Stegostoma tigrinum: one gene and its partners. The main gene of each other region encodes a partner of the protein of the gene in region 4 in a complex. Links are inferred from orthologs where the notes say so. Each region holds a gene or a part of one and is shown on either strand. Other genes may lie near its edges. The genes, in order: ercc3, polr2f, gtf2e2 and gtf2f2a.

The links.
Region 1: gtf2f2a (region 4) and ercc3 share a complex: the UniProt entries of both Homo sapiens proteins name them as parts of the TBP-based Pol II pre-initiation complex. The link is inferred for Stegostoma tigrinum from reciprocal best matches to the Homo sapiens genes GTF2F2 and ERCC3.
Region 2: gtf2f2a (region 4) and polr2f share a complex: the UniProt entries of both Homo sapiens proteins name them as parts of the TBP-based Pol II pre-initiation complex. The link is inferred for Stegostoma tigrinum from reciprocal best matches to the Homo sapiens genes GTF2F2 and POLR2F.
Region 3: gtf2f2a (region 4) and gtf2e2 share a complex: the UniProt entries of both Homo sapiens proteins name them as parts of the TBP-based Pol II pre-initiation complex. The link is inferred for Stegostoma tigrinum from reciprocal best matches to the Homo sapiens genes GTF2F2 and GTF2E2.

Annotation. Positions count from the first base shown.
Region 1 is NC_081360.1:103,816,800-103,824,706, reverse strand, and holds the start of ercc3 (general transcription and DNA repair factor IIH helicase subunit XPB), read left to right. Parts: upstream 1-4,901; 5' UTR 4,902-5,002; coding exon 5,003-5,021; intron 5,022-7,907. UniProt on the Homo sapiens protein: ATP-dependent 3'-5' DNA helicase/translocase. Binds dsDNA rather than ssDNA, unzipping it in a translocase rather than classical helicase activity. Component of the general transcription and DNA repair factor IIH (TFIIH) core complex.
Region 2 is NC_081391.1:23,912,413-23,919,778, reverse strand, and holds the start of polr2f (DNA-directed RNA polymerases I, II, and III subunit RPABC2), read left to right. Parts: upstream 1-4,350; 5' UTR 4,351-4,421; coding exon 4,422-4,441; intron 4,442-6,871; coding exon 6,872-6,941; intron 6,942-7,366. UniProt on the Homo sapiens protein: DNA-dependent RNA polymerase catalyzes the transcription of DNA into RNA using the four ribonucleoside triphosphates as substrates.
Region 3 is NC_081354.1:37,467,420-37,474,929, forward strand, and holds the start of gtf2e2 (transcription initiation factor IIE subunit beta), read left to right. Parts: upstream 1-4,507; 5' UTR 4,508-4,608; intron 4,609-7,510. UniProt on the Homo sapiens protein: Recruits TFIIH to the initiation complex and stimulates the RNA polymerase II C-terminal domain kinase and DNA-dependent ATPase activities of TFIIH. Both TFIIH and TFIIE are required for promoter clearance by RNA polymerase.
Region 4 is NC_081365.1:74,518,665-74,526,604, reverse strand, and holds the start of gtf2f2a (general transcription factor IIF subunit 2), read left to right. Parts: upstream 1-4,938; coding exon 4,939-4,995; intron 4,996-6,888; coding exon 6,889-6,962; intron 6,963-7,075; coding exon 7,076-7,094; intron 7,095-7,940. UniProt on the Homo sapiens protein: TFIIF is a general transcription initiation factor that binds to RNA polymerase II and helps to recruit it to the initiation complex in collaboration with TFIIB.

The DNA of each region.
Region 1 (7,907 bases), on a different chromosome or scaffold from region 4:
ACAGTGAAAAATTCCAGAGTGATAAGTTCCAGTCCGCTCCTGCAGGTCCCAGAGCACTAGGCTACGCTGCTTCCGCGGGCCGCTCTCAGTCAAGGGCTCACTCTACCACAACTCCTGGGAATCACCTGTTCGCTCTGCGGGATTCGGCATAAGACATTGGAGTGGAAGTAAGGCCATTCGGCTCATCGAGTCATGTGCTTGTTCCGTTACGGGGCACGGCCTGCTCGCTCTGGTCTGCTGCGGGACATGGCTTACTCGCTCCACTCCTCGACTCCACTCTTTCTGCTTAATGCCCAAAACTCATTTTAGAACATAGAAAAGTACAGCACATTACAGGCCCTTCGGCCCACGATGTTGTGCCGTGGAATAATCCTAATCCAAAAATAAAATAACCTAACCTAAATTCTCAATTCACTGCTGTCCATGTGCATGTCCAGCAGTCGCTTAAATGTCACTAATGACTCCGCTTCCACGACTACCACTGGTAAACTATTCCATGCGCTCACAACTCTCTGGGTGAAGAACCTCCCTCTGACATCTCCTCTATACCTTCCTCCTAACACCTTAAAACTACGACCCCTCGTGGCAGTCGATCGTGCCCTGGGGAAATGTAGTTTCTGTTTCCTCAACTTTCTGCTTAAATATAGTCGTTGGGCAATATTTTTAAGAACACGTACGTTTATAAATTTGCTTTAAAGAGCATTTCCTAATCCATTTGGGTACAGTTTCATTACTACTGCTGAACTTGGGCTTGTCAATTCATAATCTTGGATTTTAAATGACCAATGTAACAAAGTACAGTTCTATTTGTTAGTCACATTGATTAACTTCTTAGTAAATGAAAATTATATTCAAAAGCCTTTAATATCTACCTACTTATGTCCTTGTGCTCAAATCTGGAAGAATGTTCTGCTGCCCCAGGCTGCCTGGGTTTGGTCTCCTGGAATCCTGTGATGAGCCTCAAGGGGAAGAACTGCCCTTTTCATGACCATCCCATCTACTAACACCTCCAGGTTTGTGCAGGTGAAGCAGGGAGTAAACTTTAGTTTGAAACGTGGGAATAACAACAGTTCAGCATGGTAAGTGGGGAGCAATAATAACGCTAGGCCAATTAGTCCAAGAAAGGCAATGGCCTAGTGATATTATCGCTAGACTAATAACCTGGAGTAAGATAACAAAGTGTGAAGCTGGATGAACACAGCAGGCCAAGCAGCATCTCAGGAGCACAAAAGCTGACGTTCGGCCCTAGAGAGCACCAGGTACTGTTCTGGGTACTCACATTCAAATTGCGCCATGGAGGATGGAATAAAAAATAGTCTAATGATAATCAGGAAACCATTGCCAGTTGTCAGGAAAAACCCATCAGGTTCACCAATGTCCTAATACACTAGCTGAGGTTAATCAATGTCTTAGGCAAGTGCAGTATAACCATGAATAAAAGCACTGGACAACAGATAACATAGAACATAGAACATAGAACAGTACAGCACAGAACAGGCCCTTCAGCCCACAATGTTGTGCCGACCATTGATCCTCATGGATGCACCCTCAAATTTCTGTGACCATATGCATGTCCAGCAGTCTCTTAAATGACCCCAATGACCTTGCTTCCACAACTGCTGCTGGCAACGCATTCCATGCTCTCACAACTCTCTGCGTAAAGAACCTGCCTCTTACATCCCCTCTATACTTTCCACCAACCAGCTTAAAACTATGACCCCTCGTGCTAGCCATTTCTGCCCTGGGAAATAGTCTCTGGCTATCGACTCTATCTATGCCTCTCATTATCTTGTATACCTCAATTAGGTCCCCTCTCCTCCTCCTTTTCTCCAATGAAAAGAGACCGAGCTCAGTCAACCTCTCTTCATAAGATAAGCCCTCCAGTCCAGGCAGCATCCTGGTAAACCTCCTCTGAACCCTCTCCAAAGCATCCACATCTTTCCTATAATAGGGCGCCCAGAACTGGATGCAGTATTCCAAGTGCGGTCTAACCAAAGTTTTATAGAGCTGCAACAAGATCTCACGACTCTTAAACTCAATCCCCCTGTTAATGAAAGCCAAAACACCATATGCTTTCTTAACAACCCTGTCCACTTGGGTGGCCATTTTAAGGGATCTATGTATCTGCACACCAAGATCCCTCTGTTCCTCCACGCTGCCAAGAATCCTATCCTTAATCCTGTACTCAGCTTTCAAATTCGACCTTCCAAAATGCATCACCTCGCATTTATCCAGGTTGAACTCCATCTGCCACCTCTCAGCCCATCTCTGCATCCTGTCAATGTCCCGCTGCAGCCTACAACAGCCCTCTACACTGTCAACGACACCTCCGACCTTTGTGTCGTCTGCAAACTTGCTGACCCATCCTTCAATTCCCTCGTCCAAGTCATTAATAAAAATTACAAACAGTAGAGGCCCAAGGACAGAGCCCTGTGGAACCCCACTCACCACTGACTTCCAGGCAGAATATTTTCCTTCTACTACCACTCGCTGTCTTCTGTTGGCCAGCCAATTCTGTATCCAAGCAGCTAAGTTCCCCTGTATCCCATTCCTCCTGACCTTCTGAATGAGCCTTCCATGGGGAACCTTATCAAATGCCTTACTGAAGTCCATATACACCACATCCACAGCTTGACCCTCATCAACCTTACTAGTCACATCCTCAAAAAACTCGATAAGGTTTGTAAGGCATGACCTACCCCTCACAAAGCCGTGTTGACTGTATTTGATCAAGCCATGCTCTTCCAGATGGTCATAAATCTTATCCCTCAGAATCCTTTCTAACACCTTGCAGACGACAGACGTGAGACTTACCGGTCTATAATTGCCGGGGATTTCCCTATTTCCTTTCTTGAAGAGAGGAATTACATTTGCCTCTCTCCAGTCCTCAGGTACGACTCCAGTGGAGAGCGAGGATGCAAAGATCTTCGCAAGTGGCGAAGCAATTGCATTTCTCGCTTCCCAAAGCAGCCGAGGACAAATCTGATCCGGGCCTGGCGACTTGTCAATCTTAATGTTTGACAAAATTTTCAGTACATCAGCTTCCTCTATCTCTATCCATTCCAGCATGCACACCTGCTCTTCAAAGGTTTCATTCACTACACAGGTCGTTTCTTTCGTAAAGACAGAAGCAAAAAACTCATTTAGGGCTTCCCCTACCTCCTCAGGCTCCACACACAAGTTCCCTATGCTATCCCTGATCGGCCCTACTCTTTCTTTGACCATTCTCTTATTCCTCACGTAAGTGTAAAATGCCTTTGTGTTTTCCCGGATTCCTTCTGCCAAGCCTTTCTCGTGCCCCCTCCTGGCTCTCCTCAGACCATTTTTGAGCTCCTTCCTTGCCTGCATGTAATCCTCTCTAGCTGAACTTGACCCTAGCTTCCTCCACCTTATGTAAGCTACCTTCTTCCTTTTCACTAGAAGCTCCACCGCTCTCGTCATCCAAGGTTCCTTTATCTTACCCCGTCTTGCCTGTCTCAGAGGGACATATTTACTCATCACTCCCAACAACTGTTCCTTAAACCATCTCCACATGTCTATAGTTCCCTTACCATGGAACAACTGCTCCCAGTCCATGCTTCCTAACTCGTGTCTAATCGCATCATAGTTTCCTCTTCCCCAATTAAATATCCTCCCATTCTGCCTAATCCTCTCCTTCTCCATAGCTATGTAGAATGAGAGTGTGTTATGGTCACTATCACCAAAATGCTCTCCCACCACAAGATCTGATACCTGCCCCGGCTCGTTTCCGAGCACCAAGTCTAGAATGGCCTCTCCCCTCGTCGGCCTGTCAACGTACTGAGTTAGGAAACCCTCCTGAACACACCTTACAAAAACAGCTCCATTCAAATCTTCTGCTCGAAGGAGGTTCCAATCAATATTAGGAAAGTTAAAGTCACCCATTACAACAACCCTACTGCGTCCTCACTTTTCCAAAATCTGTCGACCTATGCTTTCTACAATCTCCCTGCTGCTATTGGGGGGCCTGTAGTAAACCCCTAACGAGGTGACTACTCCCTTGCTGTTCCTAATTTCCACCCATACTGACTCAGTAGGCAGATCTTCCTCGACAATGGAAGCTTCTGACTGATGTTGGAGAAATTCAGAAGTTTTAAAAATAAAACATTTTCCAACAGTTTCCAATTAAGAAGTCATACCAGATGTGAAACAATAACTGTTTCTCTCTTCGCATGTCCTGCCAGCCCTACTGAGTTACTCCAGCATTTTGTGCTTTTTCTACATTATCTCCTTGCTGAAATGAAGGATTTATGAAGGGTCAAATAGATGTTATGACATCCTAAAAAAGATGCAAGACTTTTATTTGTAATAGTTGAGTTGGTATGTGATATCAGCTTCACATAGAAGCCAATCAGCAACATTACCTGTACTGTACCTGCCTATCCAGTGCGTGCAGTTGTATGTTCTATTAGTGCCTTATTTCACATTTACAATTCTGATGTGTTAAAAAAGACTTTTGGTTCTACAATATCTTTTCATGACCACACCTCTACCCAACGCACTTTACAGCCAGAGGGCAGCCACGATGGTAATAGAGCAGACCTGATTGTCAATGTGCCACTTGGTAGGTTGCTGCAAAACGTCAATATGGGAATGATGAGGCTGTCCGTTTTTTTGTGCGAACTGTCGAGCAAGTATTGCCCATGACTACCAGGATTCTGTCTCCCTGCTAAGATAACAAGGTGTGGAGCTGGAATGAAGACAGCAGGCCGAGCAGGAAAGCTGATGCTTCGGGCCAAGACCCTGCTGTGTTCCTCCAGCTCTACACCTTGTTATCTCAGATTCTCCAGGATCTGCAGTTCCTTCTCTCTCTGCACCACAGATCACTTGGTATCACTGAGCTGGAGGAATCATGTGACTGATGGTTGGGTGGAGAGGATTTTCGCTTTGCGCACGCGCGCCGGTACCGGCACACCAGCGCCGGGTCCAAACATGCGCACTGGGCTCGGCCGTATCTGCGCATGCTTCTAGACACCGGGGAACGATGGGCAAGAAGGAGAGAGGTAAGGCCCGCGGTTACACAACACCCCCCCCACCCATCCCCATCCCCGCCCCCCCCATCCAGACCCACCCCATCCCCATCCCCGCCCCCCCCATCCAGACCCACCCCATCCCCATCCCCGCCCCCCCCATCCAGACCCACCCCATCCCCCCCATCCAGACCCACCCCATCCCCATCCCCGCCCCCCCCATCCAGACCCACCCCATCCCCATCCCCGCCCCCCCCATCCAGACCCACCCCATCCCCATCCCCGCCCCCCCCATCCAGACCCACCCCATCCCCATCCCCGCCCCCCCCCCCACCCATCCCCATCCCCCCCCACCCATCCCCATCCCCACCCCCCCACCGCACACCCCCCCCCACCCCCCCACCGCACACCCCCCCCCACCCCCCCACCGCACACCCCCCACCGCACACCCCCCCCACCGCACACCCCCCCCACCGCACACCCCCCCCACCGCACACCCCCCCACCCCTCCACCGCACACCCCCCCACCCCTCCACCGCACACCCCCTCCACCCCCCCACCGCACGCGCACCCCCCCCACACAACACCCTGTTGTGCTAGCTGATATTTATCCCTCAGCCAACATTGCAAAAACAGATTGTCTAGCTGTTGTACTTTTGCTGTTTATAGGTTATGTTTCCTTCATTGCAACAGTAACGTCATTTCAAAAAGTCCTTAATTGACTGTAGAGTATTCTGACATTTCAATGGTTGTGATAAATGCCGTATAAGTGCGCATCTATCTTTGTTTTATGTGTGTGAACAGTACCAGATTTGATATTGATATCCTCTGTTCTCTTTTACTGAACCAGTCGAGTTCCAGATTGTTGTGAGGCTGGTTGTGTTTGGTAATTGGCAGTTTCTACGCGGTATCCTGTGCACGATCCAAAGATGTGCAGGTTAGGTGGATTGGCCATGCTAAATTGCCCGTAGTGTTCGGGGTGTGAGGGTTATAGGGGGATGGGTCTGGGTGGGATGCTTCGAGGTGCGGTGTAGACTTGTTGGGCCGAAGGGCCTGTTTCCACGCTGTAGGGAATCTAATCTAATCCTTCACAGCTGTCCCATCAAAATAGGTTAACTTTAACTGAAGGACTGTTTCATGACCACAGGATGCCCTAATATCCAGTTGTGATGGCGTCACTAGTACAGTGTCAGGGAATACTGTATTATCTCACTCACAGCAAGTTTGCTCAAGCTGCGGAGAGAAATTCTGGATCACCTGGAGTATTGTGTTCAGTTCTGGGTGCCTTATTTAAGGAAGGATGTTACAACCCAATAGAGAATTAAATGAAGTTTACTAGAATGATACCAGCAATGTGGGATTTTAGCTAGAATGAGAAATTAGGCTTATTCTTCTTGGAGTAGAGAAGATTTAAGAGGTGACTGTATGGAGGGGTTCAAAATTATGAACAGTTTTGTCAAGTTGAAAAAGTATATGGTTGATTCTTAAATGCCTGCTGGCTAATTGGGGAATGGCAATTTATGCTGGCCTGGCTAAGAACACCCTCATTCTGTGATTAATAAAACATATTTTGTTTCAACTTATTGGTACGCCAGTAACCAGGGGGTCACAATTTCAAACTTGTCAACCAGAAAGTTGGGAGTTAGATGATGAGAAACTTCTTTACTCAGTTGTTTAGGATTTGGAATACACTGCTTGGGAGAGGCAGATTCCTTAGGAGGTTTCAAACAGTCTTCTGTACTGTAAAATCATGGGGTGTGGGCATTACTGGCTGGCCAGCAGTTAATTGCCCATCAGTAGTTGCCCCTTGAGATGCAAATGTGAGGTTTTGCACTTTGGAAAAAAGAATACAGGCATGGACTATTTTCTAAACGGTGAGAAAATTCGTAAAGCAGAAGTACAAAGGGATCTGGGAGTGTTGGTCCAAGATTCTCTAAAAGTTAACTTGCAGGTAGAGTCCATGATTAAGAAAACGAATGTAATGTGATGTTATGTTGTTGTTTATCTCAAGAGGGTTGGAATATAAAAGCAGTGATGTGCATCTGCGACTTTATAAAGCTCTAGTTCGGCCCCATTTAGAATACTGTGTCCAATTTTGGGCCCCACACGTCAGGAAGGACATACTGGCCCTGGAGCGTGTCCAGCGGAGATTCGCACGGATGATCCCTGGAATGGTACGTTTAACGTACGATGAACGGCTAAGGATCCTGGGATTGTATTCATTAGAGTTTAGAAGGTTGAGGCGAGTTCTAATAGAAACTTACAAGATAATGTATGGCTTAGACAGGGTAGATGCTGGGAAGTTGTTTCCATTAGGCGGGGAGACTAGGACCCGTGGGCACAGCCTTAAAATTAGAGGGGGTAAATTTAAAACTGAAATGAGGAGACATTGCTTCAGCCAGAGAGTGGTGGGCTTGTGAAATTCATTGCCATGGAGTGCAGTAGAAGCCGAGACGTTAGATGCCTTCAAGGCAGAGATCGACAAATTCTTGATCTCAGAAGGAATCAAGGGCTACGGGCAGAGTGCAGGGAAGTGGAGTTGAAATGCCCATCAGCCATGATTTAAATGGCGGAGTGGACTTGATGGGCCGAATCACCTTACTTCCACTCCTATGTCTTATGGTCTTATGGAGAGGTGCCCCAGATGGTGAGTTGCCCTCTTGAACAACTGGGGCAGCACGGTGGCTCGGTGGTTAGCACTGCAGCCTCACAACACCGGGGACTCTGGTTCAATTCCAGCCTCTGGTGACTGTCTGTGTGGAGTTTGCACATTCTCCCCGTGCCTGCGTGGGTTTCCTCCGGGTGCTCCGGTTTTTCCCACAGTCCAAAGATATGCAGGTTAGGTGGATTGGCCATGCTAAATTGCCCGTAGCGTTTAGAGGGATGGGTCTGGGTGGGATGCTTCAGGGGACTTTGTGG
Region 2 (7,366 bases), on a different chromosome or scaffold from region 4:
TGCAGGAACAGGAGTAGGTCATTCAGCCCCTTGAGCCTGTTCTGCATGGCCGATCTGTGGCCTAACTCCGTAGACCTGTCTTTTAGCCTGTATCCGTTAATACCTTTGTTAATAAAAATCTAAGATTAAGATCAAGTAACTGATCCAGAGTGCTCCAAACCCCTCTCTCCCGGTGTGTGTAGACGCGTTTCATAACATTTCTCCTGGATAGGCTGAGAATTAGGGTCAGACCATGTCCCCTAGTTCCAGAATCCCCATACACATATTGAGAAAGAAAATTTTCTTGAATATTTGACACATTCTTCATCCAAATCTTTCACTGTATGGCATTCCCAGTCAATGTTTGGAAAATTAGAATCCCCCCATTATTACAACTTTATTATGCTTACAATTACCTGAGATCTCCCTGCATAGTTGTTTCTCAATTTCTCTCTCGCTACTGCGGGCCTCTTGTACAATCCCATCGAAGTGATCTGGATTGTATGGACTGCTCCAAGCACAGCCAACCTATTTTCAAACATTTACTCTTTAGCACCCAGTCTAGCTATTAATTCTCTCAATCAGCAATTGGCTTTGTGTGTCTTTGGGCACCGGACTCACTGTTTTCTGTTCTCTTCCCCGTATCATCCAATCCCATGCCTATCATCAATATAATTACCCAGCTATTTTCAGCTCTGACAAAATGTTAGTGGACTCAAAATATTAACAACATTACTTTTCTCTATACAGATGCTGCAAGACTTGCTGAGTTCCTCCTGTGTTTGGCATTTCTAGCAGCCAGAGTTCTTTGTTTTATTTTGGATCGATATTGGGACCCTAGTTTCTCCCGTTATATATTTATGATTATATGTGGGTTTTCAAGGCACATTTTCAAAGTTTGCAAATGAATCAAACTTGGGCGATTTGCAAATTATGTAAGGGTCATGTGGAACTCCAAAAGGATATCAACAAGTTGGAGGAGTGAGCAGATGTGATATTATTTTTTAAAATTCACTCATGGGACATGGGTGTAACTGATTGGCCAATATTTATAGCCTATCTATAATTTCTATCAAATATAGGTTTGGATTACTTTCTATAAACTCCCCATAAAAGTAGTAACTAAGTCAGTCAGTCCTTCCAGAAGTGACAAGTTGCTGGAAAAACTCAGCAGGTCCAACAGCATCTGTGCAGAGAAAGCAGATGGTGCCAGACTTGTTGAGTTTTTCCAGCAATTTCTGTTGCTGACCTCAAGCATCCACAGTACTTTGGCTTTTGCTTCCCATTCAAGCATGGATCAGAGGGGGAAACCCTGGAGTGTTAATGGAAGGTAGTGGACACAGGAATGTCTCTGGATGTTGTTTACGTGGAATTCCGGAAGGCATTTGAAAGAAGTTTCCACGGGACTTGCAGCAAAACACTGACAGCTCAGAAACCATTTGAGTGGCAGGCAACAGACCGTCAGGATGATGGGTGGGCAATCAAACTGACACGATGTGACAGTGGTGTCCCACAAGGATCTGTGTTTGGGCCTCAATTAATCAGATTTATTAACAACTCAGTTGTGGCATACAAAATCATATATCCAACTTTGCTGGTGATGCAAAGTTAGGCAGCATTGTAATTTTGTGCTATCAACTTCAAAAGGATATTGTTAAATTAAAATGTATGGGCAAAATTGTGGCAGATGGAGTTCAAAAGAAGCAAGGATGAGGTTATCCATTTTTTGGACTCAAAAGAATAGATCATGGTACTTGAGATAATGGGAACTGCAGATGCTGGAGAATCCAAGATAATGAAATGTGAGGCTGGATGAACACAGCAGGCCAAGCAGCATCTCAGGAGCACAAAAGCTGACGTTTCGGGCCTAGACCCTTCATCAGAGAGGGGGATGGGGTGAGGGTTCTGGAATAAATAGGGAGAGAGGGGGAGGCGGACCAAAGATGGAGAGGAGAGTATAGGTGGGGAGGTAGGGAGGAGATAGGTCAGTCCAGGGAAGACGGACAGGTCAAGGAGGTGGGATGAGGTTAGTAGGTAGGAGATGGAGGTGCGGCTTGGGGTGGGAGGAAGGGATGGGTGAGAGGAAGAACAGGTTAGGGAGGCAGAGACAGGTTGGACTGGTTTTGGGATGCAGTGGGGGGTGGGGAAGAGCTGGGCTGGTTGTGTGATGCAGTGGGGGGAGGGGACGAATTGGGCTGGTTTTGGGATGCGGTGGGGGAAGGGGAGATTTTGAAGCTGGTGAAGTCCACATTGATACCATTGGGCTGCAGGGTTCCCAAGCGCAATATGAGTTGCTGTTCCCAACCTTTGGGTGGCATCATTGTGGCACTGCAGGAGGCCCACGATGGACATGTCATCTAAAGAATGGGAGGGGGAGTTGAAATGGTTCGTGACTGGGAGATGCAGTTGTTTATTGCGAACTGAGCGGAGGTGTTCTGCAAAGCGGTCCCCCAGCCTCCGCTTGGTTTCCCCAATGTAGAGGAAGCCGCACCGGGTACAGTGGATGCAGTATACCACATTGGCAGATGTGCAGGTGAACCTCTGCTTAATATGGAAAGTCATCTTGGGGCCTGGGATAGGGGTGAGGGAGGAGGTGTGGGGGCAAGTGTAGCACTTCCTGCGGTTGCAGGGGAAGGTGCCGGGTGTGGTGGGGTTGGAGGGCAGTGTGGAGCGAACAAGGGAGTCATGGAGAGAGTGGTCTCTCCGGAAAGCAGACAGGGGTGGGGATGGAAAAATGTCTTGGGTGGTGGGGTTGGATTGTAGATGGCGGAAGTGTCGGAGGATGATGTGTTGTATCCGGAGGTTGGTGGGGAGGTGTGTGAGAACGAGGGGCATCCTCTTTGGGCGGTTGTGGCGGGGGCGGGGTGCGAGGGATGTGTTGTGGGAAATGCAGGAGACACGGTCGAGGGCGTTCTCGATCACTGTGGGGGGGAAAGTTGCGGTCCTGGAAGAATGTGGACATCTGGGATGTGCGGGAGTGGAATGCCTCATCCTGGGAGCAGATGCGGCAGAGGCGGAGGAATTGGGAACAGGGGATGGAATTTTTGCAGGAGGGTGGGTGGGAGGAGGTGTATTCTCGGTAGCTGTGGGAATCGGTGGGCTTGAAATGGACATCAGTTACAAGCTGGTCGCCTGAGATGGAGACTGAGAGATCCAGGAAGGTGAGGGATGTGCTGGAGATGGCCCAGGTGAACTGAAGGTTGGGGTGGAAGGTGTTGGTGAAGTGGATGAACTGTTCGAGCTCCTCTGGGGAGCAAGAGGCGGAGATCAGGGTACTTTCTGGATTTACCTGTACGCCTACAAAGTAGGTTAAATATAATGGATGGGTTCAGGTGCATGGGTCTTTAAAATATTGTCAACAGGTACAGAAAATAATCAAGCAAGTTAATGGAATGCTGGCCTTTATATTGTGCACACGTGTAGTCTCTAGAAATTATACAAAACCCCAGTTAGAGCCCCACTTGCAGCACAGTGTCTGTGCACCACACCTCAGGAAGGATACCGTGGCCTTAGAGGGAGTACAATGTAGGTTTACAAGAATGGTATCAGAGATAATGGGAACTGCAGATGCTGGAGAATTCCAAGACAATAAAATGTGAGGCTGGATGAACACAGCAGGCCAAGCAGCATCTCAGGAGCACAAAAGCTGACGTTTCGGGCCTAGACCCTTCATCAGAGATGAAGCTCCTGAGATGCTGCTGGGCCTGCTGTGTTCATCCAGCCTCACATTTTATTATCTTACAAGAATGGTACTTGGGCCTCAGGGGTTATGAGGAGAGATTAGATAAATCAGGCCTGTTTTCTCCAGAATTTAAAAGGTGTTCTCATAAAAGTCTTCAAGATCTTAAACAGGAAAAACAGACCCTTCTTCCTAGGCCCGAACCCTCAGCCTTCCTGCTCCTCTGCTGCTGCTGCTGCTGCTGCTTGTCCAGCCCCACACCGGGTTATCTCAGATTCTCCAGCACCGGCAGCTACTGCTGTCTTTAAAGGGATGACCTGTTGCATTTGTGGGAAATGGGTTGGACTTGGCTGAGGCCCATTTCGCAAAGCGTCTGGAAGTTAAACCAAATGGTTTGTGATGCTGCTACAGGCCTGAGGTCCACCCTCCAGAAAAGGCCCCTTAGGGCCACTCAGTACATGCTGGTCAAAAACAACCGCTTAACCGTTGTGCTTCTATATTCCAGCACTTCACATCACAAATTACACCCTTACAGTTGTTAATACGAGATAAATTCACGAGTGTAATCTCTGCCCAGAACAATGTTCATGTGAAAGTATTTACTAGAACTACAGGCAATGAGGGAGAACGCCCCCTGCCAGTATCAAACATGGCGAAGCACTCCGATTGGTATAAGGCGCAGGCGCAGTGACGTCATGTCCAATAACCCTTGATCCGGAAGCACCTTGCTTGACGCCGCTCAGTGTGGACTACCACCGCCATCATGTCGGACAACGAGGACAAGTGAGTGATCGGCGAGAGCCGCTGTTTCCAACACAAGCTGCACACACCGGTGCGGACACAGCCCGTGACCGCAGACAACCGCCAACTCACCCCGGGAGCCGCTGCCGCCCTCCAACGAGGCCTCTTCCGGTCAATTTACCAGACGCCCCGAGAAGTGATCGAGCGAGGCTAACGGACAGCGACTTGACAGGGTCTGCTCACAGTGCCGCCTGCTGCCCGGGCTGAGTCACTGCACCCCCCCACACAGTGCCGCCTGCTGCCCGGGCTGAGTCACTGCACCCCCCCCCACACTGCCGCCTGCTGCCCGGGCTGAGTCACTGCACCCCCCCACACTGCCGCCTGCTGCCCGGGCTGAGTCACTGCACCCCCCCACACAGTGCCGCCTGCTGCCCGGGCTGAGTCACTGCACCCCCCCACACAGTGCCGCCTGCTGCCCGGGCTGAGTCACTGCACCCCCCCCACACAGTGCCGCCTGCTGCCCGGGCTGAGTCACTGCACCACCCCCACACAGTGCCGCCTGCTGCCCGGGCTGAGTCACTGCACCCCCCGTTACAGTGCCGCCCGCTGCCCGGGCTGAGTCACTGCACCACCCCCCCCGTTACAGTGCCGCCTGCTGCCCGGGCTGAGTCACTGCACCCCCCCCTGTTACAGTGCTGCCTGCTGGCAGGGCTGAGTCACTGCACCCCCCCCGTTACAGTGCCGCCCGCTGCCCGGGCTGAGTCACTGCACCACCCCCCCCGTTACAGTGCCGCCTGCTGCCCGGGCTGAGTCACTGCACCCCCCCTGTTACAGTGCCGCCTGCTGCCCGGGCTGAGTCACTGCACCCCCCCGTTACAGTGCCGCCTGCTGCCCGGGCTGAGTCACTGCACCCCCCCCCCGCCCCACAGTGCTCCCCACTGGCCGGGCTGAGTCACTGCACCCCCCTCACAGTGCCGCCCACTGCCCGGGCTGAGTGACTGCACCCCCCGTTACAGTGCCCCCCACTGCCCGGGCTGAGTCACTGCACCCCCCCCGGCCCACAGTGCCCCCACTGCCCGGGCTGAGTCACTGCACCCTCCCCGTTACAGTGCCCCCATTGCCCGGGCTGAGTCACTGCACCCCCCGCCCCACAGTGCCCCCCCTACTGCCGGGGCTGAGTCACTGCACTCCCCACCCCACAGTGCCCCCACTGCCCGGGCTGAGTCACTGCACCCCCCGTTACAGTGCCCCCCACTGCCCGGGCTGAGTCACTGCACCCCCCCGCCCCACAGTGCCCCCACTGCCCGGGCTGAGTCACTGCACCCCCCGCCCCACAGTGCCCCCACTGCCCGGGCTGAGTCACTGCACCCCCCGCCCCACAGTGCCCCCACTGCCCGGGCTGAGTCACTGCACCCCCCACCCCACAGTGCCCCCACTGCCCGGGCTGAGTCACTGCACCCCCCCCACAGTGCCCCCACTGCCCGGGCTGATTCACTGCACCCCCCGCCCCACAAGCCCCCACTGCCCGGGCTGAGTCACTGCACCCCCCCCCCCACAGTGCCCCCACTGCCCGGGCTGAGTCACTGCACCCCCCCCCCACAGTGCCCCCACTGCCCGGGCTGAGTCACTGCACCCCCCCCCCACAGTGCCCCCACTGCCCGGGCTGAGTCACTGCACCACCCCCCCCACAGTGCCCCCACTGCCCGGGCTGAGTCACTGCACCCCCCACCCCACAGTGCCCCCACTGCCTGGGCTGAGTCACTGCACCCCCCCACAGTGCCCCCACTGCCCGGGCTGATTCACTGCACCCCCTGCCCCACAGTGCCCCCACTGCCCGGGCTGAGTCACTGCACCCCCCCCCCCACAGTGCCCCCACTGCCCGGGCTGAGTCACTGCACCCCCCCCACAGTGCCCCCACTGCCCGGGCTGAGTCACTGCACCCCCCCCACAGTGCCGCCCACTGCCCGGGCTGAGATACTAACACACCCCCCGTGCCCGGGCTGGGGGTCCCTGTTCTGTGTGCCAAAGGGCTCCTGCTGTCTCAGCTGTGCCCCTGCACCAAGTGTCCTTCCCTTGCCACTGGTTTTAACTCTCCTGTAGCACCTCCCGCCGTCTCGCTGACTGAGAGCCCGCAGCTTTCTGCCTGGTGCTGCTGGTGGGGCGGTGGTAGCACTGGCTAATGCTTCGGAGCGCTCTTAGGGGACCATGTGGTCTGTGGCTGCTTCTGTTTCTTAAGACGTGTGGATTGGGGCTAATGTTTGATAACTGGAGGCACAGAGGTAAAGCTGGAACGGGTTGGAAAGGCACCACTAAGGGTTTTAAAGTTAATTTTGTGGGGCCTGGTTTAAAAGGGATGTGAAGGATTAGTCCTTAGTTCACAGGTTGCTGATTGAACATTCTCTTGGACAGCCAGAGCTGAGTTGTTGATACTTCTGTTTTGTGCTTCTAATATTTTTCTTTCTTTAATTTTAGTTTTGATGGAGATGATTTCGATGATGCTGATGAAGATGAAGGAATGGATGACCTGGACAATGCGGAGGAGGTGGGCACCTCGAACAACCAATATTCCTCTCTCTATCTGTAGTAAAGCTCTCTCAATTCTCCCCAACATGGGACTTCACTCCTCCCTGCTCTCTAGCTCCACCGCTCCTACAACCCGCCTTGATCGCTGCACACCTCCAGTTCTTGACTTCTGTCATTCTACCAAGACAGTCGTGCTTCCAGCTGCCTGGACTCCAAGCTCAAGAATTCCCTCCCTAAGTCTTTGTCTTCACTTCTCTCTGTCTCTCACCCATTACGATGCTCATTAAAGCCCGTCTGTTTCAGTGAGGCTTTTGCCACACCTTGTCTTTTTCTGAGGGTCAGGTTTTATCAAACAATAGTACACTGAAACCCAATTTATGAAGACTAATTGGATGATCAGATTGTCTGGTGGAGGAGCTGCAGAGCCAGTTTCTGCTGTCTTTT
Region 3 (7,510 bases), on a different chromosome or scaffold from region 4:
AGGTACGTGACAGGATAGTCACTGTGTGATTGTTTCCCCTGGCTGCTTTCCCAGCCACCATCAGTTCTGAGGATGGGTCACCAGACCCGAAACGGTAACTCTGTTTTCTCCTCCACAGATCCCGCCAGACCTGCTGAGCTTTTCTAGCAACTTCTTTTGTTCTTGATTTACAGCATCCGCAGTTCTTTTGGTTCTTAAAATGACTGAAGAGTCTCGGCAGGGTGGGTATAGAAAGGATATTCCTGCTGTGGGAGAATGCAGCACTAACAGCCACTCTTTAAAAGAGGTCACCCTTTTAAAACAGATGAGGAAAAATGTTTGGTCTGAAAGTGGTGACTCTTCAGAATTCTTCCTCAAAAGATGGTGGAATATTTTCGAGGCATAGGTAGAATTTTGATAATCAAGAGTTGAAAGATTATTGGGAGTGGGTGGGAGTGTGGAATAATCAAATCAACCATGATCTTATTGAATGGTGGAGAAGGCTTTAGGTCCCAAGTAGTCCACAGCTCCTAATGTTTATACCTGTATGTTCATACGACTCATGAGTCCTCATGCATCTCATACAAGAGAATCAACTGTGGACTCAAGAGTCCTTATCTGAGTCCTGGAAAGGAGAATCATCTATGATCACATCTTTTGAAGAACTGAGAAATGATCTCGCCTATTCCCCTGGCTTGCTGCAGCTCACCATGCACAAATTCCATCTCAGAAATATTCTCTAGGATGCATGCTGTGCCATGATCTGAGCTAGTGATGCATAAATCAGATCAAATGATGAGGCTTCTCAGAGGTCTGTTGCAGCTTTTGCTTTTCTTATGAGACTGCTGTGGTCGCTAGCTAGTAATGCCAATGGTATCTGAAGCAGACAATTAGAAGGAAGGAATAATGTGAGGAATGGAGTGGAAAGAAGGCATCCATTGTCATACAGCAGCCTGGATGCATTTCATGTTAGATATCAGGATGTAGTTGAGATAAGATTAAAAAAGGATCACAAAGAGGAACTTATCATTATCCTGAACATTCGCAGTGCTGCCAAATGCGACAATATGCCACAACCAACCCCACAACCAGATGCTGAGAAAATAGTACTCCAGTGGGATAATGTGATGCAAATGCGTCTGTCTCCTTCCAGTTCTGCTCTGCTCCCTGCAGTCATGAGCTGGCCACTTTTACCTGCCTGCCATATAAACATAGCAAATTTTCAGCACAGAAGACAACCATTGACCCAGTGCGTCTGTGCTTGCTATAAGAAACCATTAGGCCTAATCTTTATTGTAGTTCTTGGTTATGGCTCATCAAGTGCATGTCCAGTTACTAAAAAAAAAACTTCATTTCCACTTTTTTTTTCTGTAAACTCTGCTTATTGATCCTTCTGCTGGAAAGCCCTTTATGATTTTATATGCCTTGACAAATGTTCTCCTTAACCCTTTCTACTCTAAAACCAATTCCAATTTCTCTAATCTTTCTATCAAACTGAAGTCCCTAACTCCTGGTATGTTTGTATGAATATCGTCATATCCTCTCCAAGACCTGGACAAAGTGTTATTGCTCAGAAGCAATAAGATCAGCAGGACTGTCAATGTGCAGAATCGCAGGAAATGGGGGAAATACTGAACGAGTATTTTATATTAGTGTTTACTGAGGAGAAGGATATGGAAGATATAGAACGTGGGGAAATAGGTAGCAATATCTTGAAAGACATCCATATTGCACAGGTGATGGTGCTGGATGTCTTAAAGCGCATAAAGTTGGATATCCCCGGGACCTATTCAGGTGTACCGTAGAACTCTGTGGGAAGCTAGGGAAGTGATTGCTGAGATATTTGTATCATCGATAGCCAGAGGTAAGGCGCCAGAAGACTGGAAGCTGGCTAATGTGGTGCCACTATTTTAAGAGTATTGGTAAAGGAAAAGGCAGGGAACTATAGACTGCTGAACCTGACATCAGTGGTGGGCAAGTTGTTGGAGGGAATCCTGAGGGATGGGATTTACATGTATTTGGAAAGGCAAGGATGATTAGGGGTCGTCAACATGGCTTTGTGCATGGGAAATCATTTCTCACTAACTTGATTGAGTGTTTTTGAAGAAGTAACAAAGAGGATTGATGAGGGCAGAGCAGTGGACGTGATCTCTTCGGACTTCAGTAAGGCATTCAACAAGGTTCCTAGTTAGGAAGGTCAGATCACACAGAATACAGGGAGATCTAGCCATTTGGATACAGAACTGGCTCAAAGGTCGAAGACAGGGGGTGGTGGTGGGAGGTTGCTTTTCAGACTGGAGGCCTGTGACCAGTGGTATGCCACAAGGATCAGTGCTGGGTCCACTGCTTTTTGTCATTTTTCTAAATGATTTGGATGTGAACAGAGGAGGTGTGGTTTGTAAGTTTGCAGATGACACCAAACTTGTAAATGTAGTGGACAGCAAAGTTGGTCACCTCACGGTACAATAGGATCTTGATCAGCTGGGCAGAGGAGTGGCAGATGGGAGTCTAATTTACATAAATGCAAGGTGCTGCATTTTGGAAAAGCATATCAGTACAGAACTTATACACTTATTGGTAAGGTCCTGGGGAGTGTTGCTAAACAAACAGACCTTGAAGTGCAAGTTCATAGTTCCTTGAAAGTGAAGTTGCAGGTAGATAGAATGCTGAAGAAGGCATTTGCTATGCTTGCCTTTAATGGGCAGTGTTTTGAGTATAGGAGTCATGTTGCAGCTGTACAGGACATTGGTTAGGCCACTTTTGGAATACTGCGTGCAGTCTGGTCACCCTGCTGTAGGAAGGATGTTGTGAAACTTGAAACAGTTCAGAAAAGATTTACTAGGATGTTGCCAGGATTGGAAGGTTTGAGCTACAGGAAGAGGCTGAGGCTATTTTCCCTAGAGTGTCGAAGGCTGAGGTCTGACCTTATAGAGGTTTATAAAATCATCAGAGCATGGATAGAGTAAATAATCAAGGTCTTCTCCCCAGGGTGGGGAGTCAAAAGCTAAAGGGCATAGGTTTGACATGAGAGGGGAAAGATTTAAAATGGAACTAAGGGGCAACTTTTTTCACACAGAGGGTGGTGCTTGTATGGAATGAGCTGCCAGAGGACGTGATGGAGGCTGGTACAATTACAACATTTAAAAGGCATCTGGATGGATAAATGACTAAGAAGGGTTTAGTGGGATATGGGCCAAATGCTGACAAATGAGACTAGATTTATTTAGGGTATGTGGTTGGCATGGATGAGTTGCACCGAAGGGTCTGTTTCTGTGCCGTACATCTCCAATTGAACAAAATACTCCACCTGATGTGTACCTAGTGATTTATAATTGTTTAGCATACCTTTCTTGCTTTTGTACTGTATGCCTTGATGTACAGAACGAAGTTTAAAAAAACCTATTTTCAACAGCCTCATCAGCTTCTCCGACTACCAAAATTCATCTGTATTAACCCAAGATTTCTCTGTTCCCTTTAACATATCACAACTTAGTTTATTGCCAGAAATTACTTCAAGCTTATTGTGTTAAAATACACCTGCAATGTGTTTACCCAGTTAATTGATCTGATTTCCTCAAATCTGTTACCATCTACCTCACCGGGTTACCACCTTTGAAGTTTATTATCTACCAGCATCAAACTTATTTCTAAATTATCACTAATGATATTAAAAATGACAATAAAAATCTCGCAGGTGATCATTACCCTTCAGTGAGAAAAGCAAAATATCACAAAGGCCACCACGCTAGTTTTGTGCTGGGATAGGGACTCACATGTCAGTTGGATAGAATAAGGTGTCCTTCAACAGTCAAAGGGCTGCTAATGTAGCTAAAGGAGCGAGGAGATACCTAAAGGACAGGGGTTCTCCAGCACTTTTAAAAACTTGCAACTTAAAAATGGCCCCAGTGGTAAATGGTCAACCTTCTGCAGGCTAGCTAGCAGGCAAATGGAAATCATGGATGGAAAAACCTACCTGAACTGACTTTGATAAGCTTCCCCTTCTCTGACAACTTCAAAGGGGGGAAAATTCCAGTCGTCGTGGAAGTGAGGTATCCTACCCTGACATCCAACAAAGTGAAGAGCTGTGCCGGCCTGCCAGCCTTCCCGCGGATTTTAAGAATTAAAAAAAACACCCTTGAAAACTCTCTTTTAAACGATGGTGCGAAACACATGCATTTCCTATTTTTTACAAAAACGGCAGTTGCTGGAAAAGCTCAGCAGGTCTGGCAGCATCTGTGAAGGAAAAAACAGTTAACGCTTCAGGTCCGGTGATTCTATTTTACAATCACCGTTACCCTCTCCTTTCTGCCCCTTCATCAATATCAGATTCACGCTAAGGCTCCTTCAACTTCATCGGCTTCAAAGTGAATTTATTTTTTGAATCCAAAGCTTTCCATTTTGACCATAGTGCTAAGTCAGTTGATACCCGGACTGACCAAGACTCTCGGTAACTGTAACCGGTGAATGCAGCTGCTTGTCTTCCAGCAACCAGTGACGACAAGGGGGCGGGGTTTGTCACCAGACGTAACCAATCAAGTGCGAACGGCGGTTAGATCGATGACATCGGTGATCACAGGGTTGCTTGGAGACGGAGTCCTACATTGTCGGTGGCCTTGGTTTGGGGTGCTGGTAAGTTTTATGAGCTTACAGCCGGTTTACCCAGAACTCTGTAGAGTGATCAGTAGTTATTTTGCTCCCGTTGTTTGGATGTTTATTGAGAGTCGAGTACTGATGGCTGACTGTCCTTTTCGCCGAATTTCTACTCAAGGCACCGTGGGCCCGGGGAACTCCTGAAACTTATGACTTATTCTTACAGCAGAAGGCAGAAACGATTAGTTTAGAGTCAGGGGGACTGGAGAGGATGTTGAGAATTTGGTGGGATATCGTACAGATTGAAAAAGGCACTTGAGAAAGACTTAACAGGAGATTAGTGAAATACAGAATGTGGAGTTGAACTCTGGCCTCCTTTCACGAAAATGGCTATAGATTGGGAGAAAGCTGAAAGAATGTAGGCCGTTTGTTTTTGTACATTTTATGCAAATAATGACATTGGGCTGACTGTTACGTCGTTTTTGCCGGTTTGCATCTAGTTTTTTTTTAGGTTTTGTCCCCTGCCTTTATGGGATCCGTCTCGTCCGATTCCGACCACGTTTACCACATGCCGTTCCGGGAACAAGCCGCCACTCAGCGGATGTCACAGAATTCTCGGCATCCCATGTGCTCCATCACTTTTTAAAAGCCAGACGTATACCTGAACAAGCACTCGGTGTCGAGGTGACCTGTTGAAATATGGCACATAGAGGGAAACTGGCATCCCACGTTGTGATCAGGGACTTGAGGTCCTGCTGGGCTTCCACTTCCCCCAAATCTCCACCCAACTGCAACACCTAACTGTGCCATGATGTCTAAGGTTGCCACCTGGGTTAGAGCTGTCTCAGCTGACAGCAAGAATATCTAGCACTGCATGAAGAACATCAAAGTCCTTTGCCATTCTGCTCGAGTAAGTCCCACCATACTCTGTCCAATACTGCCTTTGCTGCTGTATCCATTCCACATCAAGCCTAATGCAGTAGTAATTTCACTATTGCCTGCAACATCTACCCCACTCACCCTCATATGCCCCAACAACCCAACACCATCAGCCATGTATGCATTTGTGCTGTCTACCTACACTCTCACTTAGCACGTGTTCCCACTTGTGGCAACAGTAAAGCTGTGCCATCACTGTTGTCTCCCATAATACTTGCCTTTCTCTCAATCCATGAGAAGTAAAGCCCACAGTAGGACAGAAAGACTTGAGGTGAGTGGTGGGTTGCTTGACATTTGGCTCCTCATCCTTTATGAGAAGAGAAACCTGACTCAACCTCCCTGATCAAAGTCTGGACTGATATTGGAGGCCACCATTGAATTACTGAGCCAAAAACTCCAAGTGAAGGCTATCCCTCTCTTGACTGAGGTCTGCTGACAAATGACACCCTTCCTAGCTTTATGTCTGCTAAATGACAATGGCAAGAAATCAGTACTAAGACTGGTATCTGGCTGAGGAATGGGATTGAAAAAGACAAGGCAGGGATCCTGCAAACGTCTACGTAGACTGAGTGTTGGAGCAGTGGTTAAGAGCAAGTGGTGAACTGATTCAACCAGATGCTCACTCTGGTTTCCTTGTCAAGCTTTCCAGATGTCAAACTTATTTGGTGACTTTGGGAAGATGAGAGGCTGTTTGTTGATGAGGTGAGTTGGGCTTTTAACCAGGTATTTAACAAGCTAGAGGAAGAATGTTATTAAACTGGAAAGGGTGCAAAAAAGATCCTTTCTGAGACTGAAAGGTTTGAATTAAGATAGGCTGGGACACTTTTCCGCTGGAGCATAGGAGGCTGAGCTATGACCTTATAGAGGTTTACAAAATCGTGAGGGACATATATAAGGTGAATAGCTTAAGTCTTTTTCGGAGTGTAGGAGATTCCAACACTAGAGGACATAGGTTTAAGGTGAGAGAGGAAAGATATTAAAAGAACCTGAGAGGTAACTTTTTCCCACAAGAGGGTGGTGCATGTATAGAATCAGCTGTTCGCAGAAGTGGTAGAGGCAGGAACAGTTACAACATTTAAAAGACATTTGGACAGATACAAGGATAGGAAAGCTTTAGAATGATATGGGCCATATGCAGGCAAGTAGGACTAGTTCAGTTCAGAAAACTTATTCAGCATGGATGCTTTGGGCCGAAGGGCCTGTTTCTGCATGTATGCCTCTGACTCTGAGTCTAAGCATTAATTATGGCTAATTGGCACCTCACCAGTACCAGGAAAGGATCTTGCCATGCTGATTTTTGAAGAGCATAAGAGATGCTGAGAGTTGTTCCCAACATCAAGATGAGACTCACCACTTGTAGTGCGATTCTGCACACATCTCACCATAGACCATGTTGCTTGGATCTCTACAAGTTGACGCACACAGTTCCTGGTTATATGATCGTATATAACTGCACAGACAGTTATTAAAGGATATGATGTAATTGGGTTCACAGAGACCTAGATCCAGGGTGACCAAGGATAGGAATTCAATATCCAGGGGTATTCAATTTTCAGGAAAGATAGATGGAAAGAAAAGAGAGGTGGGGTAAGGAGTAAATTAACACAATAGTAAGGATGTTTTAAAAAAAATAAGGAGGGATGTAAAAGAGGTGGGAGAGTGGCATTGCTAATCAGGGATGGTATCACAGCTGCAGAAAAGGAGGCCGTGGAGGAGGCTTTGTCCACTGAGTCAGTGTCGGTGGACGTCAGAAACAGGAAAGCAGCAGTCACTTTATTGGGAGTTTTCTATAGAGCCCCCGATAGCAACAGAGACACTGAGGAACAGATTGGGAGACAGATTTTGGGAAGGTGTAGAAGTAATAGGGTTGTTGTCATGGGTGACTTCAACTTCTCTAATATAGACTGGAACCTCCTTAGTGCAGAATTTATCAGGTGTGTCCAGGAAGGATTTCTAGCTCAGTATGTATATAGGTCAACTAGAGGGAGAGCCAAAATGGATT
Region 4 (7,940 bases):
TTTTAGTCATTACTATGTTGTTTGCCAATATATAAACCTATGTCTTTACATAATTCAGCATCTAGTTATTTATTTATTTATTATAAATTTATGTAGTTTCTTTCATCCCTGGCCACACCACTTGAAACAATTTTTGTTACAAAGTATCATAGTCAAGTTATGTAATTTGTGCTGTGGATCACTTGCAACAGCTTTCATTTATATTGGGAATATCACAAGGTATCCCTCAAAGCGATGGAAAACAAATAGATACTAAGTTTGAGGAGGAGGTGGTGAGAGGAGTGAGGATCAATGACTTGTAAAGAGCAATTTAGATACCATAGGGTCATACAGCACAGAAACAGACGCTTTGGCCCAACCATTCCAGGCTGACCATAATCCCAAACTAAACTAGTCCCACCTGCCGGTGCCTGGCTCACATCCCTCCATGGATTTCTTATTCATGTATTTATCCAAATGCCTTTTAAATGTTGTAACTACCCGTATCTACCACTTCCTCTGGAAGTTAATTCCACATAGGAACCACTCTCTGTGTAAACAAAATGTTGGCCCTCATGTCCTTTTTAATCCTTTCTCCTCTTACCTTAAAAATATGCCCCCTAGCCTTGAAATCCCCCACCCTGGGGAAAAGACATCTCCCATTCACCTTATCTATACCTCATATGATTTTATAAACCTTCATAGGGTCACCCCTCAGCCTTCTACACTCCAGTGGAAAAAGTCCAGTGAATGGGAGGTGTCTTTTCCCCAGGGTGGGGGATTACAAGGCTAGTGGGCATATTTTTAAGGTGAGAGGAGAAAGGTTTAAAAAGGACATGAGGGCCAACATTTTGTTTACACAGAGAGTGGTTCCTATGTGGAATGAACTTCCAGAGGAAGTGGTAGATATGGGTACAGTTACAACCTTTAAAAGACGTTTGGATAAATACGTGAGCCTCTCCCCAAAACTTAAACCCTCCATTCCTGGTAACATGCTGGTAAATCTTTTCTGAACCCTTTCCAGCTTAATAATATCTTTCCTATAACAAGGCGACCAGAACTGGACACAGAACTCCAGAAGAGACCTCACCAATGTGCTGTACGACCTCAGCATGACGTTCCTAACTCCTATACTCAGAAGTGACAAGTACTGGTGCCTGCAGAGAGAGAGAAGTGGATGTACAGCAGGCAAGAGAAGTGGGTGATAGGAATGGAGGAGTTTAGAGCTAGGGGGAACCAAAGGTTATGGAAGATTTTAGAAATGAGCATTTAAAATCTAAAGCATTGTGACCAGTAGCCAATGTAGGTGAGTAGAGATAGTGAGTAGAACTTGGTGTGACATTAAGGTTGTCCTGAATGATGCCCCAGTTGAACGTTCTGGAGGAGACCCTGGGAGAGAGAGTTCCAGATAACTGTAAGTCTCTTACACACTCTGTTTATCCTGTCCCTTGCCAAACAAATATTAGTTTTACAATTTAAGAAATATGGTACCTGTGATGAGAATATAGAAGATATTGCGATTAAGTTTGAGGATGACACCAAAATTAATGGCTTAGTGGGCGGTAAGGAAGGGTATCTAAGATTACCAAGAGATCTTGATTGATTGGGTCAGTGGGCTGAGAGGTGGCAGGTGGAGTTTAATTCGGATAAATGTGAGGTGTTGCCTTTTTAGTAAAACAAAAAAGAGCAGGACTTATACTATTAAAAGTAGCCCCTTGGGAAGTGTTGTCGAATAGAGAGACCTAGAGGTTCAGGTTGAATTTGGCATCACAGGTAGACTGGATGCTAAAGAAGGCATTTGGCACGCTTGCCTTCGTGGTTAGATCTTTGAGTATAGGATTTGGGGCGTCATTTTGTGATTGTATGGGATGTTGGAGAGGCCTTTTTCTGGAGTACAGTTCTGGTCACCCTGCTTCAGGAAGGATATTAAATTGGAGAGTGTTCAGAAAAAAAAGTACCAGGATGTTGGTGGGAATGGAGGGTTTGAGTTATAAAAATAGGCTGGGACTTTTTTTCTCTGGAGTGTAGGTGGCTGAGAGGCGACCTTAGAGGTTTATAAAATAATGAGGGGCATACATAAGGTGAATAGCAAAATTCCTTGCCCTAGGAGTTGAAAACTAAGAGGCGTATTCTTAAGGTGAGAGGAGAAAAATTTAAAAAGGGCATGAGGGGCATTTGTTTTTCTTATACAGAGTGATTTTTGGAGGATGTAAGTCAAAGAGGAGAACTTTGCGGCTCATTGAGGCTGGAGGGAAAAATTGAGAAAGAAGTGCCATATGGGCTGCAGTAGAGAAAGAGGCAGGTAATTCAATTTGAGGTTTACTCAGCTCTGACCAGGATGCCATAGTTGCAAACAATCATATCAGCGTGAAGCAGCGCCGGCATGGAGACGTCTCTCTTGTTGATGAGGGTACAGAAAGGTGCTGCATAATTATTGTTGCTGTGCATGCTCTTACCAGTCACACTTGGTAACCTCCTTTCTCATTTCTGAGTCACACTTCATCTTCACTAGCTCCAATTTTGCATTCATAACAGGTATGCACTGTACCAATCAACCAGTATGTAGAGCAGGAATAAAATTCAGTCTGTTCAGAAGATCTGTAAATGCAAAGCAGTAATCAAAAAAAAACCAGGGAAAGTAAACAAGTCAAGTTGCTCAAAGTACTTGTTGAGTACTTTCCAAGTGATTAGAAAGTAAGATAGGAATTTAATTTGCATGTTCTTCTACCCAACTAAATTTCCACATTGATTCTATCAGTTGTTTAATTTTAATCACAGAAGGGGGCAGATGGATAATTAGAAAATCTGTGGTTCTATTCATGTTAAGAACTCAAAAATTAGGACGTTGTATTATATTTTTGACCTCTGTAATATTTTCCTTGTACAAAACAATTGAAAAACTGGGTGAGGAATTTGAAGTTCCTTGAGTTGAAGGTCTGCATGAAAGATGCAACTTTTTTTTCTGAATCTAATTCAGGAATAAACAGACGGGAATAGAACGGCATTAACATTCTTGTGCACATAGTATGTTTTCATGCAACTGCAGTTGTTACAGGAAATACTTATTTTCCAGGACCCAATTTAAAAACACTTGGACTTGCTTCATTTTCATTGGAAACTTTGGGCATTCCTTTCACAAATATCCACCGACCTTTCACTGCCACTCCCCTGTGTCCGCATTGGAAAGAATGTAAAGCGCGATTTGTTTTTAATGTAAAGAAGATGCATATATATGATTATTCACATATGCTGCCATGTGTTTTAAAAACATAGAGAATAGGAGCAGGCCATTCAGCCCTTTGAGCCTGCTGCGCTATTCAATAGAATCATGACTGATTATCCAACTCCATACCCTGTAACCGCTTTCTCCCCATATCCCTTGATAGCCCTTTAGCAAAAAGAACCATATCTGACTCATTCCCGAAAACATTCAGTATTTTGGCTTTCACCAGTTTTTGTGGCAGTGAATTCTACAGGTTCACCACTCTCTGAATAAAGAAATTTTCCTTCATCACAGTCCTAAATGGCCTATCCTGAATCTTTAAACTGTGACCTCACTGGTCATTGGGAACATCCTTCTTGCATTTACCCTGTATATTCCTCTTGGAATGTTATAGGTTTCTTTGAGATGCCCCTCATTCTTCAAACTGCTAGTGCTTGTAAACCTGACCAATCCAGTCTCTCTTAATGCATCAGTCCTGCCATCCCAGGAATAGGCTCATAAACTTGCATTGCACCCCCTCCAAAGCCAGAGACCCAAACTCCACAAAATGATCCCGGTGTGGTCTCTCCATATAGAATCGTAACAGGACATCCCTGCTCCTGTACTCAAACCCTGTCACTATGAAGGCCAACATACTATGTGCTGCCGTCACTGTTTGCATGCTTTCCTTCAGCAGTTAGTGCACTAGGACACTGAGGTCTCAACATAACTTCGTGTTTCCCAACCTATCACCATTAAGATAATAATCTGCGGCCTTGTTTTTGTTTATCAAAATGTTACCCTCGCTTTTTCCACATTATACTTCACCTGCCTTGAATTTGCCCATTCACTCCACTTGTCCAAATCACACTGAAGCATCTCTGTGTTGTCCTCACAGCTCGCCCTCCCACCTGTCCTGTGTGATCTACAAACTTGGAGATATTACATTTAGTTCCCTTCTCTAAAGTATTAATATATGTTGGGAATAGCTGGGGCCCAAGCACTGACTGTTGCAGCACCTCCCTACTTACTGCCTGCTTTTTGGGTAAAACACCCATTTATTCTGACTGTTTCCTGCCAAACAGTTCTCCATTCCCATGTCAGTATGGCTCAGTGGCTAGCACTGCAGCCTCATAGCGCCAGGGACCTGGGTTCAATTCCAGCCTTGGGCAACTGTCTGTGTGGAGTTTGTACATTCTCCCCGTGTCTGCATGGGTTTCCTCCGGGTGCTCCGGTTTCCTCCCACAATCCAAAGATGTGCAGGCTAGGTGGATCGGTGATGCTAAATTGCCCATAGTGTTCAGGGGTGTGTGGGTTGTAGGAGAATGGGTCTGGGTGGGATGCTTCAAGGGGCGGTATGGACTTGTTGGGCTGAAGGGCCTGTTTCCGCACTGTAGGGAATCTTTTCTAATCTAAACTACCCTTAATCCCTCGCACTTTCATTTTGCATGCTAATCTCTTAGGTACATCTATTGAAAGCCTTCTGAAAGTCCAAGTAAGCCCATCCACACTCTTCCCCTTAGCAACTGATTTTCTTTTCATAATTCATGCTGACTCTGCCCAATCTGGCCTCTGTTTTCCAGTTGCTCTGCTCTAAATCTTAGAAGGATAACAGTATTTTCCCCACTACCAATATTTAGCCTAATGGCCTATAATTCTCTGTTTTCTCTCAATCGCCTTTTTAAACTAACAGGGTCACAGTTAACTACCTTCTAACATATAGAAACTGTTCCACAGAGTCTAAACAATCTTGAAAGATGACCATCAATGCACCCACTATTCCCAGGACCACTTCATTAAGTACTGTGTGGGATGTAAATTATCAGGCCTTGGGGATTTATCTGCCTTTAATCCTATCAATTTCCCCAACACGATTTCCCTACTAAAACTAGTTTTGTTCAGTTGCTCCCTTTGACTAAAGTTTCCCAACGTTTTTGGGATATTATCTGTGCCCATCTTTGTGAGATCAGAACTATATGTATTTAACTGGTCTGCCATCTCTTTGTTTCCCATTATAAATTATCCTGTTTCTGACCGTAAGGGGTACATTTGGCTTCCCACCTCCTTTCCTCTTCATGCACCTATAGAAGCTTTTATATTTAGTTTGCATGTTCCCCACAAGCTTACTCTCAAACCCCATTCTCCCCCTTAATCAATCCCTCTATCCATCTTTGCTGAAATCTAAACTTCCCCCCAATCCACGCATCTACTTTTTTGATTAATTTGTATGCCCCTTCTTTGGATCTAATGCTATCCCTAATTTCGCTTATTAGCCATGGTTGAGCCACATTTCCCATTTTATTTTTGTCCCGGACAGGAGTGTACAGTTGTGACAGTTCACCCATGTGCTGTTTTAATATTTGCCATTGCTTATCCACCATCATCCCTTTAAGTAACATTCCTTGATTTATCATAGCCAGTTCGCACCTCATACCACCCTAACCTCATTTGGATTCAGGATCCGAATCTGAGTCACCTACTACACCTTCCATCTAAGTAAAGAATTCTATATAACATTATGATCATACTTCCTCAAAGGGCCTCACATAGCTAGGTTGCCAATCATTCCTGTCTCCTTTACTCAAGTATTCACTGTCTATACCTAAAATACAAATACTCTTTTCTCCGTCCTTGTGAAAATATCTCTCGGGTTTCTTTTGAGTTGGCCCAGTTTGGTAATCCCATTCACCTTCTCTGTCTTCAAAGGCAGACCCTTGCTGAAATACCATTGAAAGCAGGAACCCCATGACAATACTGCAATAACTTAGCACTCCAATTTCCTCTTCTCCTGAGTGTTGGTGAGTCAGCAACGCAACCTGTATGCTGCTGAGCTATGGAGCCACTGTTTTGGGTCTGCCACATCTTAGGGTAGTTTAACAGATGTGTTAAAACTTAGGATATCCCTCTTTCATTGCTAACTGTTAGAATCCCTGTCTCTTCATTACTCACCTCCTTTTGTAAAACACTGTTCAAAGCAGAGTATGACAGGCCTTGTTGGTATATTCTAAAATCTTTTGAACAGTTCATATCCATCTTATTTGTACAGCATTAATTTATAGAACTCACGCTTGATGCACTAAATGTTATTTAACTGATTAGTTATGAAGTGTTTTTCATACAGTGATTATAATTGAAAAACCTGGTCGTTAGCTAGTTGCTTTATTGAGAGTTTGTATTATCAAAAATGTTAATTCAAATATTTTAAATTCTTATGACTGTTGGGACACAGTCTGGACAGATTTTATAATCCAGAAAAATCCATAATATGTTATGTGTAGATGTCAGACATCAATTTCTTTGAGGTCCTAAAGTGAATCTCTGCACAAAGAATCACTGGGGGTATATTACCCCTGTTCATCATGTCCTTTAAAATAATAAAATATGATTTTTTTGTTTACCAAAGTGCTCCTCTTTGCAATCTGAAATAGCTCCATATGCAGCGTCTGGTCAGTTTTTGAAGTTTGACTTCCTGTACTGACACATTTTTATTTTCTCTTTTGTGCAGCCCAGCTTTCCCACTCTCCCTTGTGCTCACTTTTTCACCTGCACTGGGCTCTGCAGGAGAATCTGATTCCCTACTTTGAGCTATCACTCCTCAGAAAAAATTAACAAAAATGATAATGCTGGCTATTACATAAGCAAACTGTGTTTTATTTTTGGCCTTCATGCTTACCGTAAATAACTGTTTGTATTACACATGTCTGTAGGTCCCCAAATACCTTTCTCAGCAATGGGCTAAAGCAACAGGAAGAGGTGAAGTCGGAAAAATAAGGATAGCCAAGTAAGTGACCTTTATTCTGTCACCAGAGTAGCTGTCAGAGGCTGACAAATGTGGTTTTTAAATGGTAAAGTGGTGAGCATGAAACTAATCTGCTTCCTCTTTCTATTTAACAGGAATCAAGGAAAAACTGAGGTAAGAGAATGCAAGGAAGGAAATACAATTGAAAGGTATTTTTGCCAGCTATCTCCTATCTGTCACCCCCAGATTTGTGTACTGTTCAAAAACAGCAGATTTATCTCTTACACCTGGTGGAGTGGCATGATGGGATAAACCCAGGAGTGTCCTGCACAGCCTGAATAGCCGTTCTATTTAAGAACAAACTCCTGTAATGTTTGTTCAACAACTGCTGAAAGCTTATGACCTTAAAACTTAACCTGGATTGTAAAGTATTGTTCTTTGCATTTTATGCCTCAGCCCTTTCACAACACTTGACACCTATCTTGTCATGAGTAATGCTATGGGATTAGCATCTGCTGGTATATACTGTAGATGGCTTGATTAAGTGTTTCTGGTACAAATGAGCATCATTATGACTCATTGTGATCATCATGAATGATATTGGAAATATTAATAGTAGATCTTTGCATTACTATCTAAATGTCAGATCTTGAGAGGAGATCGTTTCTTACTAATTGCTGAACGTTTTAGAAAAAATTGTTCCTGACAGTTTTATTTGCAGGCTTAAATGGAATGTAAAGCTAAATGTAGAATTTGCTTCCTGCATTATATTGTTGTTTGATGTTCTGACATCAGATTGAGAAGATTTCCTTTTCAGATTAAACTGACTGGGTTTTTCTTTTTCTTTTGAAAATAAGACTTATAGGTGACCTCATTAAGGTCTTCAGAATGAGTGGGTTAGACAGGATACGTGTGAAGAGGATGTGTAACACTTATGGGAGAGTGTGAAATAGGGGGCTACAAATACAAAATAGTATCTAAAGGGTTTACTGGAGACATGAAATATCTTGAACTTTGAGG